Drosophila melanogaster: one gene and its partner. The protein of the gene in region 1 interacts with the protein of each later gene in a pairwise test. Each region holds a gene or a part of one and is shown on either strand. Other genes may lie near its edges.

Region 1 (8,312 bases):
TTCTGCGCTGCGCCGCGGCCGACGCCTGCTGCGCCGCTGCCGACGACTTCACTTGATTGCTAGGGACTTAGGGAAACATTTTGTACGCTAGATTTAGTTTCAAATGATAAATTGCAATAAACGGTCGCTTGCGATCTTCAAAATCAAATCGATAACTTATTAACTTATATGTAACGAAATTTCAAATGGTATATTCCAAAAAGTGCAAAGTGGTATTAGCGGTATATTTTTTGGACACACACGGCATATTTTTGTGACCGCGGCAGGGTAACACTCTTTTGTTGCTGATTAAAAATCCGCTTAACTCGTGGCGAAATTTGCATTTACGATTTCGCATACAAATCGCGTTGAAAATCAGAGTGAGTGCACCCCAAGCAAGCGCCCAGTGTAGCCCCACTCACTGCGCCCTCAATTCCTTTCAGATGCCGGGCGTTGAAACGATCAAATCCTCCTGGGCGGACGAGGTGGAGCTCGACTATGGTGGACTACCTCCGACGACGGAGACGGTGGAGAACGGACAGAAGTACGTGACGGAGTACAAGTACAACAAGGACGACAAGAAGACGAAGGTGGTGCGCACGTACAAGATATCCAAGCAGGTGGTGCCCAAGACGGTGGCCAAGCGACGCACCTGGACGAAGTTCGGCGACTCGAAGAACGACAAGCCCGGCCCCAACTCGCAGACGACCATGGTGTCCGAGGAGATCATCATGCAGTTCCTCAACTCCAAGGAGGACGAGAAGGCCAACGATCCGCTGCTAGATCCCACCAAGAATATTGCCAAGTGCCGTATCTGCAACGGTGAGCATTGGTCGGTCAACTGCCCGTACAAGGGCACGGCGATGGACACGAATATGATGGAGAAGAAGGCTTCGGCAGCCGCCGCGGCCGCCGTCGATGCGCCCAAGTCCGGCAAGTATGTGCCGCCGTTCCTCAAGGACAGCCAAAAGGGCGCGCTGGGAATGCGCGGACGCGACGACACGGCCGCCATTAGGATATCGAATCTGTCGGAGTCGATGACCGAGGCGGATCTCGAGGAGCTGGTGAAGAAGATTGGACCGCAGAGCAAGATGTATCTCGCCCGCGACAAGAACACCGGACTCTGCAAGGGATTCGCCTACGTGCACTTCAAGCAGCGCAAGGATGCGGCCGCCGCCATCGAGATCCTCAATGGACACGGCTACGACCACTTGATCCTCAGCGTCGAATGGTCGAAACCCCAGAACAATTAGTTAGTCCCGTTCCCACTACCCGCGTTTACTGCTCATAGGAGTCCGTTCGAGTCGATCACACAATTTGTCCCTATGCTATGCTAAGTTTGCTACAAATAAATCTTAAAACAGCCCCCATGGGCACCGAAAACCAGATGACTATGCTCTGCAAGGATACAATGGCATCTAGAATCGTATATTTTTCATATTTGATATAACTTAATCGCTCTTCTTTAGTTTTGCGGACCAACCAACACAAATGCTTTCGACTTTTGCTCTAATATAGCTTTCTCCCTCGTTTTAAAGGACGCAAGGCCACCAAATCGTAGACACTGGGAACAACATATAAAAGAAATATTTTTTATTTGTTACTTAAAAAACTTGAATATGATTTGTTAAGTGTATTTTTTAACGACATGCAGCTACCCACATATGGTTAACAAGTTAACCTTACGCGGTGCCCACTGTAGAAAGCATGATTCCAGCCGATCTGGCAACGCCATCGTTTGCATGCGAATAAACACCATGGTGTTGTTGTTTTTGTGTTTGCCAGCGATTTGCGTAAATTGTGTTTGTTTTTGTGGCCAAAAATAGAAATCAGATGCCGCAAAATATTCAAAAAGCATTCGAAACAATATTTTTGATCTTCAGGTGTGCGCTCATTTTCAGTCGTCAGTGAGACGGGCCCCCAGGCGAAAGTCTTTGTTGTTGCTCCGTTCGAGCGAAATGGCCACCGCCACCGTTGGTTCATCCAGATCCGCAACCACATCCGCAACCGCATCCGCATGCTCATCCAAATCCAAGAACCTAAAGAATCCGGCGCCGCAAATAAAAAGGGGACAGCGGATCCTCACGGAGAAACCATTCGCCTTCGTCTTGAAATCACAGTACCGCCTGGAGCGGTGCGATAACTGCCTGGAGGCGTAAGTTTCGCCATGTGGCTGCCTTTGTGAGCTATCTAATTTGGGTTCGTCGTTGCAGGACCAAGGTGCTGAAGTGCTCCAACTGCAGGTATGTGTCCTACTGCCACCGCTCATGCCAGATGCAAGCTTGGGGCCAGCACAAGCACGAGTGTCCTTTCCTCAAGAAGGTGCATCCTCGAGTTGTGCCCGATGCTGCCCGAATGCTCTGCCGACTGATCCTGCGCCTGGAGCACGGCGGAGACCTGATCCGCGGCTATTACACCGAGCACGGCTCCCGCAAGTTTCGCGATCTCATGTCCCGTGAGTAAACCAAAGGGCGAACCGCTTTGCATGGTCATTCCTAGCTAATCCACGTTAACGTGCACAGATTACGCCGAAATCAAGAACGATCCCATGCGACTGGAGCACTTGGACTCGCTGCATGCCGTCCTCACCGATATGATGGCCGAGAGTCCCAGCACGGTGCCAAACAAGACGGAACTGATGAGCATCTATGGTCGCGTAAGTGTGCAGGCACCTGTGCGAGCGAGCAGGAGCGGATTGGGCGATTCATCGCACTGGTACTGAATCGAGAAACCAAGACGCTTGCGTATGCAGCCGCTCCTGGTCGCCCAAATTAGATAGCAATCAATGATGTATGCCTGGCGCTCTGCCAGTCAATTGATTATCTAGGAAGGGCTTCGGTTCACATTCCCCGGCGCACAGTTACGCGGGAGCTCATGCTCTTTCTTCTCTGCTCTTTGCAGCTGATCACCAATGGCTTCAATATCTTGGACGCCGAGATGAACTCAATTGCCACGGCCATATATCTGGGCGTCTCGATTACGGACCATAGCTGCCAGCCAAATGCGGTCGCCACCTTCGAGGGCAACGAGCTGCACGTCCACGCGATCGAGGACATGGAATGCCTGGACTGGTCGAAAATCTTCATCAGCTACATCGACCTGCTCAATACGCCGGAGCAGAGGCGTCTGGACCTCAAGGAGCACTACTACTTCCTATGCGTGTGCAGCAAGTGCACGGATGCCAAGGAATCGAAGGAGATGCTGGCTGCCCTGTGTCCCAATCGCAACTGCGGTGCGGGAATCAGTGTGGACCGCAATAATTGCCCGCGATGCGATGCCGGCATCAGTCCCAAGTTGAGAAATGCCTTCAACGAGGCGATGACTCTGACCCGGCACAATCTGGAGAACATGAAGGACGTGGCCTGTGAGTAGATGCGACGAAATGGAATTAGCTCCATAATAAGCACATTTTCACTCTCTCGATCACAGATCTCGATGTGTGCAAGGTGTGTCTGGACAAGCAGACTGGCGTGTTCCATCCCCTGAATGTGTGGTACGTCAAGACGCTCGATGCGGCCTTCGAAGCAGCCATCGAAGTGGGCAAGTGGAGCGACGCCCTGGATTACGGGCAACGTTTGCTGCCAGGCTTTCGAAAATACCACGGACCCTGGAATCCGCTATTGGGCCTGCTTCACATGAAGCTGGGCAAGATTCAGCTCTACGAGGGCCATTCCAAGGAGGCACTGCACCATCTGGAGGAGGCCCAACGCATCCTAACCGTCACCCACGGCCGAGATCACAGACTGCTTACTGAGCAGCTATACATGCTCGTTCTACAAGCGCGACAAGAGGCGCACTAATGGGATTTAGTTGTTTTTATTCATTTAAATAAGTCTTAAGTTAAATATTGTGTTGCGTTGCGGGAAGAATGGAATGGATTTTTGTGGATAATTACTTTTCTATGTACAACAGAAACCATTCGGAGAATTAAAGATTATCAAATTCTATTACTTTTGGCATTTGTGGTAAACAATTCAAGGAATTAAAGTAAGGACACATTGATGGTGATCATCAAATTTAGACTCCGTTTACCACCTCAAATGTGATGTCTATCCGCCGTTCAACATTCCTCGCTCGCAAAAAAGGCGCACGCGCCCTATACAATCTGCGTAATGGCCTTGGCCCGCCAATCCGTATCCTGGAACAACGCCCTGATTAGGTGCTTTATCTCATCCGACTTGTAGCTGGCGGTCAGCGGGCCGACGCCGTCGCCCCACAGCTCTGTGATCTCCATGAGCGACGCGTTCAGCATGGCCTTCAGTTGCTGCAGCTTAAGCCAAGAGAGCACCTGGACCACCTCGTTTGGTTCGCGGAAAAGCGTGGGCGCCCGCTGGAGCACCACGTCAATGAGATCGCTCAGCTCACAGGCCATCTGTGCGGAAATGTCGCGCAGCGTGAACACTCGACGGATTAGCTCGGCGACAAATGTGTTGATTAGCTCGCAGAAGGTTGCATTGTACACGGTCTCCGGGAGCACATTGGCCCACACGTTCTTCAGCAGCTCCAGCTGGCGAAGGCACTGACGCACCAGCTTCAGTGGACCAGAGCCCAGCGTGTGCGTGCTCTCGAACTCGAACTCCTGCATGATGCCCATCAGGATGGAGGATTGGTAGTCGACCTGCACGCGGAAATGCTGCTGACCGGTGGCCTGCAGTGTCTTGGCCAGCGCCGCCAAGCTTTCGATGCCCTTGTTCGCATGCTGCGCTACCCAGTGTGTGAAGAACATACAATTGTTGTGGAACAGGACGGCCTGCTGTGGAATGCTCTCGAGCAGCTTGCGGTGCACCTTGGGCACCTCATTGATGTAGGTGTGCAGCATGATGGAAATGACGCCGGCTATGGGATCGGCCTCTTGGTCGCCCAGTTTATCCGTGGGCTGGCGAAGAATGCGGTCCATTAGTTTGACAAAGTCCTGCCGGCGAAAATGAATCCATTAGTGCGTAATCAATCGTTTCGTTTAGCGAACGACTTACCTGAGCACTTTTCGAGATCATGCAGCGTGGGAAGAGGAAGGGATCGTTTGCCACTTCGGCTGAGTGGTTGTTGGGCGCCACCAGCACCATGTCCTGCAGATCGCGCTGGATGATCTCCCGCGCCGTTTCCAGAACTCGACGATACATCCGATTGCGGTAGTAGGTCTCGTACTTCTCTACAAACTGCCCTAGGGCTCGATCTTGCTCGGGATTGATGATGAATGAGTCTACAAGCAGCTGCTCCAGCTGGGCGACATCCTCACACAGCGTGGATGTCTGATACTCCTCCGTGCTTTCGGGCACAGCTGGTATCAGGCACTCGTCCACCAGTAATTTCAGCATTTTATCCTTCACATGATCGCCAATAATGCCAAAAACATGTTGGTCCCTGGACACACTGCAGTTGATCCCGGCCAGCGTGTGCAGCAGCAGCCTGAGGTTCTCCAAGACCTGCTTGTAGTTCGGGCGAAGCTGCGCTGAGCTGGGCTCCTTGGTGGCGTAGGAAAGCGACAATCGAACGTAGGTGCCACCATCGGCTTCTTCGCTGTAATCGGCCATCACTGGGCGCATGATCACCGGTTCTATGCAATTGTCCAGCAGGAATTCGCAGAGGCGCGCCGGATTGTAGGGCTCCTGGAAGAGAGCCTGCACAATATCCTGCAGCTGCGTTTGATCCCGGCTCACCTGCAAGGTGACGCAACGCGATGTGGGAAAGGATTTGCACTGCAGCTGCACCAGGCGATCGAAGCGCTCCTGGAGGCTCTGCTGCAGCATATATGCCTGTACATGGTATTTCACCTTGATGGTCTCGTAGCACTCGAGAGCCTTAAAGATGCGTCGAACCTCTGGCGTGGCCACCTGCGCGTCCCCGTCAACGGAATCATCGCCATAGATGAAAGCCCTCAAACGACCGACAAGGTCCAGTAACACCAAGTAATCCTTGGTGGCCTTGGCCTCCTCCACGCACTGGAACAGCTCGTCGATCCTTAGCACATGCTCGCTGACACCCAGACCCAAAAGGATCTCTCGCAGCTGCCTGCCGTTACCCGCCATCTTGACATTCGCCTCGTCCAAGGCGTCCAGTCCCTCGGAACCCAAGTTCTCGAGCATGTCGTGAATCTCGCGATTCAAGGACCCCGACTCCTCCAGAAATATGTCCGGCGACGTGTTGTTGGGCAAAAACTCCGTGTAGTTGTCTTCGATGTGCTTGCGGACGCGCATCTGGAAGCGATTAACGCGCGTCAGCACTTTTAATATGGCCGATTGGGTGGCCTCCACGTTGGCGCACCCGTTCCCATTGCCGTTGAACGCCTCCTCCAGCACATTGAACCGCGGCGCCTCTTCCTCCATGTCCTGCTCTTTGACCAGATCCTCCTTTTCCAATTCTTGCGAAACCCAAGACAACTGGTTTCTGCAATTCCCTGTTGCTACCAACGATTGTTCAAAAAAGCGATAGATATGTGCGGCTGTCTGCTATCGGCTATCGGCGAATTGGCTAGTTGACAAGAATTGGGCTCTTATCACTGGCAGTAGCTAAAATAGTTGTAGATCTAGGTAGCTTTTATTTTTATGTATAAGTATGTAGATACACTGTCAATGATTCATTTTGTCAAATCGGCGTGCACAAATCGTCCAACCACATTTTTGCAAATGTGCTATTCAAGAGCCAAATTATAAAAAAATCGAAATCTTTCTACACCGGCACCTCCGTCGATCGCGCCACTAATCGACATCTGCAACGAATCGATAACAACGCCATTTTTAAAAATACTGGCAGAAATGCATTTGCTTCTTAGCGTCGCGTTTCATTAGTTTAGTTCCTTGATCCAAAAATCGAATTCATTGAGAGTGCCGGGCTGCGCGTGGAGAAGCCGCGTTGCTCCAAAATCTAGACCAACCAAAATTCTAAGTTTTTGTAAGTGCTAACCAGTTGATCAGTTAACCAAAGTCGGACTTGCTGTGCCCCAGAGAAGGTAAGTGGTTGGTGGTGTTGGTCGAGATGGCGGTAAAGGTGATGGAATGTTATGATTGTCCTTCCCTCCCCCTACCCCCAGATGTCCAGCGAGGATCCCAGCTGTGTGGCAGTGGCCTTGCGCGTGCGCCCCTTGGTGCAGTCCGAGTTGGATCGCGGCTGCCGGATTGCCGTCGAACGATCGGCGGATGGAGCGCCACAGGTTACAGTCAACCGGAATGAGTCGTATACGTACAACTATGTCTTCGACATTGACGACTCGCAAAAGGATCTATTCGAGACGTGTGTACAGGCCAAAGTGAAAAAGCTGTTAAATGGCTATAACGTAACAATCTTGGCATATGGACAAACGGGTTCCGGAAAGACCTACACTATGGGCACCGCCTTCAACGGAGTGTTAGATGACCATGTGGGCGTTATACCACGCGCCGTTCATGATATATTCACAGCCATTGCGGAAATGCAGAGCGAATTTCGTTTTGCTGTCACATGCTCTTTTGTGGAGCTCTACCAGGAGCAGTTCTATGACCTTTTTTCGTCGAAAACTCGGGACAAGGCCACCGTAGACATCAGGGAGGTCAAGAACCGTATTATCATGCCGGGCCTCACCGAGCTAGTGGTCACATCCGCCCAGCAAGTGACCGATCATCTGATCCGCGGCTCAGCCGGACGGGCTGTGGCCGCCACGGCTATGAATGAAACCTCTTCAAGATCCCATGCCATATTCACATTGACGCTAGTAGCCACCAAGCTGGACGGCAAGTATGTTGTGGGCCGCCATCACCTCGTTAGAATACTTAATGCTTATACACATTTGACCTCCAATCTCCGATAGGCAATCCGTTACCACGTCCAGGTTCAACCTGGTGGATCTGGCTGGTTCTGAACGCTGCTCAAAGACCCTAGCCAGCGGCGATCGGTTCAAAGAGGGTGTGAACATCAATAAGGGTCTTCTGGCCCTGGGCAACGTGATCAATGCCCTGGGATGTGAGTATCTATCATTTAGCCACTGGCTTGAAAATTGATCTCCATTTTTATATATTCCATATAAATTGCAGCTGGCCAGGCCGCTGGCTACATACCCTATCGCCAGTCCAAGCTGACGCGTCTGCTGCAGGACTCCCTGGGCGGTAATTCCATTACGCTGATGATTGCTTGCGTCAGTCCCGCCGACTACAACGTGGCCGAGACATTGAGCACCCTACGCTATGCGGATCGAGCACTGCAAATCAAAAACAAGCCAGTGGTCAATCTCGATCCGCATGCGGCGGAGGTTAATATGCTGAAGGACGTCATCCAAAAGCTGCGTGTAGAGCTATTGTCGGGCGGCAAGATGAGCAGTTCCTTAATTAGCGCTGTTGGAGCCGCAGGCTTGGGTGCCATTCCCT
Region 2 (9,044 bases), on another chromosome or scaffold:
ATAAATAAAGTACATTAAAACGAAATATCTGAATTTTTGGTGTATGCATGGGTATTGAAGGCACTGCGATTTTCTTTTTCAGATATAAGTAACTTATGTGTTTTATGTATTAAAATAACCCATCAATTGCGATATTAAGCTTAAAGAAAATTATTTTGAATGATGTGAAATTGAATCCTTAGTGATGGCGAAAAAATCATTTTAGTTGCATCGTTTGGAAACCAGTTGTTTTTATTTATACTCGATAACTACATCCATTTACAATAAACTAAAAATGAGGGACTCGATGTAAATTCATTCTGCAACATTAAGTTTTTAGCGGGTATCGATGCAACGCTTTCCAATATTCAATATTATGTGGCAACGCTGCCAAATGGGTTTTGTAATTACAGAAGTGGGTAAAGAAATAAAATAGTTAACATCTAATATTTATATATTGTAAGCTTTGACACAAGTCGAATAGGAAAATAAATGAATAAGTTAATCTTATTTAAGCTTTTCGGAACTGCTAACGAGTTAAATAATCTTAGGGAAATTAATAACTATTATATTAGTGAAAGAATAAGAATTGCTCTGCCAGAGTTAAGAAAATACATACGAATCGTGAAATAAATATTATTACAATTAAAATAAAAAATTAATTTTAATATTTATTTTTCGGCTGGCGGCTCTAATCAACAGCTGGAAAGATATCGATATCGACAGGAGAATATCGATATTCAATCGGTATTCGATACTGCTGCGATACAGCAAAAAAAAGAGAGATTTCTCGGATTAGATGAGATACCAACGAAAAAATTATTAGTCAAGTGCCCCCGCAGAGTAGTTCAGCCACCAAATAGCCCGCAGAACAGTTCAGTCCAGTTGGGTCCAACACAAGCCAGTCGAGAGCCAGCGGAGTAACAAGGAAACCCGTGAATCCAGAAGGAGGTGGAGGAGGAGAGCCAGAAGCCACGAAGTGGGAAGTAGAAACCAGATAGGAAACATGTCCTGGACGGAGAAAGTCGATCCAGAGCTCATCTTCACCAAGCAGGAGCGCATCGGCAAGGGCTCCTTCGGCGAGGTGTTCAAGGGCATCGACAACCGCACCCAGCAAGTGGTGGCCATCAAGATCATCGATCTGGAGGAGGCCGAAGATGAGATCGACGACATCCAGCAGGAGATCATGGTGCTGTCGCAGTGCGACTCGCCGTACGTGACGAAGTACTATGGCAGCTTTCTTAAGGGCACCAAGTTATGGATCATCATGGAGTACCTGGGCGGTGGATCCGCCTTGGACCTCATGAAGGCCGGCTCCTTCGAGGAAATGCACATCGGGATCATATTGCGCGAAGTGCTTAAGGGCCTGGACTACCTGCACTCGGAGCGCAAGCTGCATCGCGACATCAAGGCGGCCAATGTTCTGTTGAGCGAACAGGGCGATGTCAAGCTGGCGGACTTTGGAGTCGCTGGCCAGCTGACCAACACCACATCCAAGAGGAACACCTTCGTGGGCACGCCCTTTTGGATGGCGCCCGAGGTGATCAAGCAGTCACAGTACGATGCCAAGGCGGACATCTGGTCGTTGGGCATCACGGCTATCGAACTGGCCAAGGGTGAGCCGCCCAATTCGGAGCTGCATCCGATGCGCGTGCTCTTCCTCATCCCCAAGAACAATCCACCCCAGCTGACGGGCAGCTATACCAAGTCTTTTAAGGACTTTGTGGAGGCCTGCCTAAACAAGGACCCGGAGAACAGGCCCACGGCCAAGGAGCTGCTCAAGTACCCGTTCATCAAGAAGGCCAAGAAGAACGCCTATCTGATTGACCTGATCGACCGCTTCAAGAAGTGGAAGGTCTCCAAGGGCGACGAAAGTGAGACGGAGTCTGAGAACTCTGACTCGGACTCGGACGCCAAGCAGGGCGGCAGCAGCCAGGATGAGCCCTGGATCATGACCGTCAAGGGCCTGCATATCAACAGTGCTCCGCGGGCGGGTGTCAACAGCTTCCAGTTGCAGGAGCACGAGCTAACCATGCAGAAGCTGATGCAGACCACACACTCGCCAGCCGGCGGTGGTGGCGTGCAAGCGTCCCCTGCTGCAAATGCATTATCGTCCTCTGTGTCCGCCGTGGCGGCGTCAGCTTCCTCCGTATCGGTCATTACAGCCAACGAAGGTGTCTCCTCTGCATCCGCCCTGCCCCCCCAGAACAGTCACGTCCACAACCACAACCACAACAACATTAACAACAATAACATCAGAAACTTGAGCAACAAGCATGCCACCACCACCATGCTGAACGCAGCTCCTCCGCCGAGCAGCGTCACAAGCTCGTCGTCGGCCAGTGAGCTGCAGCAGAAGCGTTCCAGCTCGAAGCCGGAGCTGCGCCAGTCGCGATCCGCCGCCCCTCTGGATCAAGTAGAGGATCGCCGTGCCTCTTTGGGCCTGCCATTGCAGTCGTCGGTTCCGACTCCATCGACGGCTGAGCAGCAGCAACAGCGCCGCAGCAGCCAACGTGAATCATTCCATGCAAATAACGCCGCGCTGGTTGCCAGCTGCAGCAGCAGTAGCAACAACCACAGCCACGAGGAGCATGTGGCCACCAACCATGCCAGCCATGTCAAGCACTCTGGGGCGGGACAACGCCTAGTCCAAACGAACAGCGCCTGTCTGAACAACTTCCTCTTCCCCGTGCTGAGCGACATCCAGCGAAAGTACTCCGGCGGAGGATCTGCAGGAAGCGGAGGATCAGGCGGCCGTAACATAGGCGTCGGCAGCGACATCGGCGACCTGAAGTCTGTGTTCGAGCTGGCCGAACGTTCCAGTCCGGGAGTGAGCGACCTATTTATGAAAGAGCTGATCCACATGCTCGTTCCTGGTTACTCGGAGACGCGAATCAATACGATCATGGACCGCGCCATACGCAACCGCAAGTAGCTGGCGAAGCCGTAGCAAATTCCGATTCCAAGCAGCCTATTTTAATATATACACAACTTTATTAACGACACCGAGACAACACAAACTGAAACGCTGGAGCAGACATATTCCGACATTTAGTGGCCAACAGAGGACCGGGAGCGATGTACATGTATTTCAATTGAACAGTTATTTAAGCATATAATATGTATTCGTTTGTTTATCTGCAATATTAATCTAATGTAAAACATATATAACTTCAAAATAAAAACCCCACAAAAATAAACAATTCGATTTTGGCGCGCTAATGCGAACTTGGCATCATTGGTGACTCCGAGTATTCATTTGATCTGGCAACGCTGGACGCTAGCGAAAAATGCAGTAAATAAAAAAATAAATAAATTGAATAAACAGGATATCGTTAAATAAATAATAATTATAATCAAAAAGCCGTGCAAATAGAACATCAAAACGACCTTATTGGAAATGAGGAACCCAAGTTTTCTATTTGTTTTATATAAATAAAAATGGGACGTGTTTAGTTAAGTCGCGTTTTGGTGTATTTTTTGGCGCCTTGGAGACGGTAACACCAGTGGCAACGCCATTTTTGTTGACTCTTTATTTTTGTGTTTTAAGATTTCTTTTAGTTTTTATAAATTTTAATCAAGTATTCCGTGAACTGATAACTACATAACCATGGCGAATGCGGTGGTGGACGAGGAAACACTGGAGGCAATGGTCTACGAGCGCTCTAAGGCCTGGTCCAGTAAAATGGCGGTGAGTCCGTAGAAACCCAAGTGGCGTCTCTTCTTGATGGACGATATTGTTTTATAGGATTTTGCCAGCCTGGAAGACGGCATGGAAATAGATGTGGCCGAGTTCGACAACTTGTTCCACGGCGAGGACGAGGACCCCGACCTGGATGACGTGGCAAAGGAGGCTGTGGAGGACAATGTGCCCGACGAGGCAAAGCTTGAAATGGGCCATATCAACGCCACCAGCGTTACAGAACTGACACTTATACTTTGCGCCAATGAGGATAACGAGGCAAAGGCGGAGATCGAGGAAATCCTTAATCAAACGGTGCCGGTGGTCGAGGAGCACAAGCGCAAGTGGCGGGAGGCGGGACTGGATCGCATTCTGGACACTTTTGATGAAAAGCAGATCGAACACCATGTGGGCCGCTGGATGCGAAGGCACAACAGCGTCTACCTGGAGGCCTCACCACCAAAGTACCTTCCACCGCACCACAACTCAATCTCAGACGAAAGCGACGAATCGATGCACTCCATCGACACGGCTCGCTACATCCAGCAGAGTCGTCGGCGCAATGCTCACATGACCAACAAGAACATGACCACCATTAAGATGTACCGTAAACACTCTCACAAACGAGACGAGTTGCGGGCAAAGTACGCCTATGGTGACGAGCAGGAGCATCGTCACCACATGCAGGCCGTGTTGCTTCGCCGACGTGAGAGGGAGCGCCAGCTTGCATATCTGGCGTCTACGCCGATGCAATGCGTCTACTCCAGCGGCCATCATATGAGACGCAAGAATCTGCGTAAGCGGCGCATAAACTCCTGGATGTTTGACTCGGCATCCAGCAGCGAGGAGGATACATCATTCGGCGGCTGCGACTGCCACTCCTGCCGGAGGCATTACGCTCTGTCTAGAAGTGTCTACCAGTCCTGCCCGTACGGCAGAGGTCAACGCGAGTATCACCACCGTCAGATGGCATCTCGAACCATGCACACCATGCGCCGCCAACACACCTTCGATATGGAAATGGACTTGAGACCAAGGCTGCCAGAGAACGAGTGTAGTTGCTGCAATAGTGACCGCCTATGCTCCAATGTCATTCACATTGCCAATAGCTCAACCGAAGAGTGGGTGGTGGAGAACAGAAGTAATCATTTGACCCAGGAGACACAGGAAAAGACTAGGAAGCAAAAGCACCAACCGATGGATGCCAGGAAAGTTAGTCATCAACCGGTATGCTCCAAAGGTCACGAACAAAAGCCACTGAGTTCGAAAGCTACCTCTGTTTCCAAATTGGTCTTATCGAAAGAAAAGTATATGCAAATGTTTGATAGTGAGTCTTCCGATGAAGATAACGCCTTGGCTAAAAAAGGATTGCTATGCTGTTCGGATAAAAAAAAAGGAATGACATTTCCAACTCCAAATGCCGCTGGTAAGATTACCCATCCTACTTCCTCGGCGAAGAAGGCTATAAGAAAAGAAGCGCGTCCCAATGGTTTGGCACAAATACAAGAAGAAGGGCCGACTGCAACGAACTCTCCAATTGAATCCACGTATCTTCCAGTTGCTCATATGAAAAGCGTATCTATTGACGGATCAAGTGGTACATCTGCAACATTTGAATCTCCAGCAAAGAAAGCGCCTAAGAGGGGTATTAGGGAAACTTCACCACTCAACGGAAATGAATTACAGCAGCTGATATCAACAATCCCTATAGCTGACGAAAAGGCATCGAGTCTTATGGAAAAAGTGGATAATTGTATTGGAAGAGAATCTTTCGACGACAGAAATAAGGATTTCATGCACATGGAGAACTCATCGACTAAGACTGCCGTTGAAAAGTCTACCAAACAGAAAAGGGTTTCTGGTAAAAAGTCCGAAATTCCAAAGAGTATTATTACTAACAACGAAATCCTGGAAAAAAACAGCACTGAAACCTTATCTGAAAAACAAGTTGCAGCTAAGGCAAAAAAGCAGTCAGTTAGAAAGACAGGTGCGACCGGAAAACCGTCTACTTCGAGATTGAAAAAGTCAGAAAAAACGAAAACAACTTCTTCTGTGACTTCGACTTCGAAGTTAGAGCAAGTCAGGGAAGAGGAGTCCGATGTATCATCAGAAGTACTGGCAAAACCTAAACCACAATGTTCAACTACGGCAAGCATTTTAAAGCAAGGTGGTGATGGGGCATCAAACTCGGAGGATGATCTGCAAATAGCCCTGGCTATGTCGAAGGCCACCTACAAGGAGGAACAACAGAAGCGCAAAAAAACGAAAAGGGAGCCATCTAATAAGCAGCCCCAATCACCTGCAGAGAAATCAATGACGGTATTCAACAATCAAAGCGTAGCGTGCAACTCCACAGCTCTGGCCAACGACACGGCTTGCTACCGCGTGCTTCCCAAGAGACGAGGAGTCAAGAGGGCAGCCGCTGTTAGCACTACGGAGGAGAAGACAGCGACGAACAGCTCGAGCTCCCCAACGAGCAGTTTGGAAGAGATGGGCAGCCCCACAGGCGGGGATCCTGACTGCACTGTAGTTACATCTACCACTGGCTGCGAACCGCCTGCAAGTGAACGACAAGAGATTCCAGCGACCATCAAGATCACCAAGCGCGGCATTCTGCTGCACAGCCCTTCCGCGCCGGAAGGCGCCAGCTTCACACTGACCGAGCAGGGACTCGGAAAGATTATTGGAGAACGTTGGGCCCGCAAGTACCTGAAGTACCACATCGGCAGTCGGAGCTTTGATAGCCGACACTCGGTTTACTATCAGCCGACTCCCCAACTCGCCGCAGCTCTCAGTGCACCGCAGGATGCGCAGAACATCGGGAACATCTCGGGCTCAAGTGCAAGCGATGATGACATCTTCGAGCAAATCAATCGATATGGAACGGTGTACAGCATACTCGAGAATAATTCCGGTGACAAGTAATTAAGTAGTTAGGTTTCATATTTCAGACCTATTTTTTAAATATATTAGGTTCATGTTTTGGTTGTACATGACGGATTTCTTGGTGGTGTTAAACACGTCCTTGCAAAAGAAATTATATAAGAAAAGTTGTATTTAGTTCATTTTTTTGTGTTTTGATTTATTTCACGTAAATTACATGATCGATAGTGATAATAGAAAACATAATACGTCATAATCATTTTAATCATCATAAATTTTTCGCTTAAGTATTAAATAATTGTTTAAGAGATTTATTCGCATTGCAATAGTAATTCTTGTGTGTCGAAGTTGTGCTTTAGTTCGTTTCCATGAAGTCTATCAAAATTCATATCGGCAATTGTTAATTTTATGTATTCACAAGAAAACAAATAAAACGTAAGATCAATTTAAAGAGTGAAAATGGCGCGTCGAAAAACAGAAGCTTCTTCCTTCCATGTATGTACAAATAACAAAAACTTACCTAAAATATGATGATAAATCAAGAAATTAAAATTAAACAAAGAGCGTTATGATGAAAACAAGAAACACACGACTTTTGACCCTGGAACATGCGCGCCCACACACATACACATGCGAAGCATATATCTACACGTACACATATGCCTGGCCGGCTATATAGCGCCCTACACATCGATCTGGAATGGGGAGCCGGGTATATGCTCCTCGCCCCACTTGATTAGGAGCACGTACTGGCCGCGATCGCGCACCAGATACTGCACATTATAGTTGTTGTGGCCAGCGTGCTTCACGTGGAACTCCTCGCAGGGTCCCTTTGGTCCGTACATGCCCACGTACAGGATGTTGTTGCCTTTTAACAAAAGCAGGATATATTATAACATCAAGTTTAAAATGGGTATGAATATTACTCACCCGCATCGGTGGCGCTGATGCTGAACTGGTTCTGCTTGCCAATGTAGGCCTTCTTCAGGCCCATACCCTTGGACACCACCTTGCTGGCATCCGACTTAAAGGTGGGCAGATGGACGCCCGTGTTCTTGCCTCCTTTGGCCACCTTCTGCACGGTCTCCACGATCACCGTGGACGTCTCCTGGGCGCCCTCATCCGCTAACTTGTCGCCGGTAGCGTTCACCTTGAATGGCGAGCCCACGATGTGCATGTTGTTGTACTTGACCGTGATGTAGTGCTCGCCGGGCAGGAGCGGGGTGTAGCGGACCTTGTAGCCCTCCTCAACCTCTGTGCAGTCCATGGCCACCTTGGAGGGTCCATCGATGGAGACGGCCAACGTGCCAACGCCGGCGTTGCAGGTGTTGATGATGAAGTCGGCCTTGTGTCCAGTCTTCACTTCGTCCAATCCATTGCCGCTGGCGTGCACGGCAGCTGGATCGGCCACATCCTTGCCCACCTTGATCCTGAATGGAGAGTCGGGTATGTGGACGCCGTTGAACTTGACGTGGATGGCATGGATTCCGTTCTCGCGTGGATAGAATCGCACCGAGTACATCTCGCCGTCGATCACCTGGATGAAGCAATCATCGTCCGTTCCGGATGGAGCCACAATCTTGGCATCCAGCTCACCCTTGGCACCGTTCTTGCGGACCATGAATTGGTAGGGAGCGTCCGCCTGGATGTTACCCTGCGGGAACTGCTGAACCTCCAGCTTGTGGGCATCACCCGCATCCGGGGAGACGTACACCTTGAATGGTGAGTCGGGTATGTGGCGATCGTTGAATTTCAGGCCCACGCGGTACTCTCCCGGTTCGGTGACCTTGTACGACACATCGCAGCTGCCGTCCTTGCGGTCCTTAAACTCGATGTCAGCCTTGCTGGGACCTTCCACGGAAATGGCCAGGGAACCACCGCCTGCCTCGCGGGTCCACACATTGAACTCGGCCGCCTCTCCGACAACACCTCGCTCCAGACCAGAGCCTCCAGCCTTAACAAGATGGCTGCCGGAGTCGCGCAGTGGTCCCACGGTGAACTGGAACGGTGATCCGGGTATGTGCATCTCGGAATAGCGCACCGACACCGTGTGCACGCCCAACTCCTTGGGCACAAAGTGCACTGCGTAGAGGCCATCCTCCACCTCTTGGATCTCCGCATCCTCGGTCACGTTGCTAGGCGAGGTGACACAGGCGGCCAGATCGAACGAGGTAATGCCCGGCATCTTGAATGTCAGCTTGCACTGGCTTCCGATTTCCGTGATTGGAACAGCATCGCGCTCCCGCTGGATCTTCTCGCGCTTGCGGTTGCTGCCCTCGCCGGCAACCTTGACGGTGAAAGGAGAACCCTCCACGTGGTGATCGGCGAACTTCAGGTTAACAATGTAGTAGCCCGGCTCAGTGGGCTTGTACGAGATGTTGAGAGTACCGTCATCCTTATCCGTGCACTGGATCTCAGCCTTGCTGGGACCCTCAATGGAGACCGAAAGACCACCGAAGCCGGCGTTCCTCGTGTCCACGGAGAAGATGTTGTCGGCATG

What was found. The genes of interacting proteins can lie anywhere in the genome.
Region 2: the proteins of Zw10 (region 1) and cal1 interact in a two-hybrid assay, tested with the Drosophila melanogaster proteins (one study listed by BioGRID).

What each region holds. Positions count from the first base shown.
Region 1 is NC_004354.4:2,602,293-2,610,604, reverse strand, and holds Zw10 (Zeste-white 10), read right to left. Parts: upstream 6,409-8,312; 5' UTR 6,303-6,408; coding exon 4,953-6,302; intron 4,892-4,952; coding exon 4,076-4,891; 3' UTR 3,781-4,075; downstream 1-3,780. Other genes in the region: eIF3g1 (eukaryotic translation initiation factor 3 subunit g1), read left to right, coding at 423-1,232; Smyd3 (SET and MYND domain containing, class 3), read left to right, coding at 1,938-2,134, 2,193-2,434, 2,502-2,635, 2,881-3,343, 3,409-3,779; Klp3A (Kinesin-like protein at 3A), read left to right, coding at 7,007-7,686, 7,760-7,911, 7,983-8,312. UniProt on the Drosophila melanogaster protein: Essential component of the mitotic checkpoint, which prevents cells from prematurely exiting mitosis. Required for the assembly of the dynein-dynactin, Mad2 complexes and spindly/CG15415 onto kinetochores.
Region 2 is NT_033777.3:17,084,813-17,093,856, forward strand, and holds cal1 (chromosome alignment defect 1), read left to right. Parts: upstream 1-3,467; 5' UTR 3,468-3,589; coding exon 3,590-3,670; intron 3,671-3,727; coding exon 3,728-6,586; 3' UTR 6,587-7,126; downstream 7,127-9,044. Other genes in the region: GckIII (germinal centre kinase III), read left to right, coding at 986-2,914; cher (cheerio), read right to left, coding at 7,228-7,412, 7,475-9,044.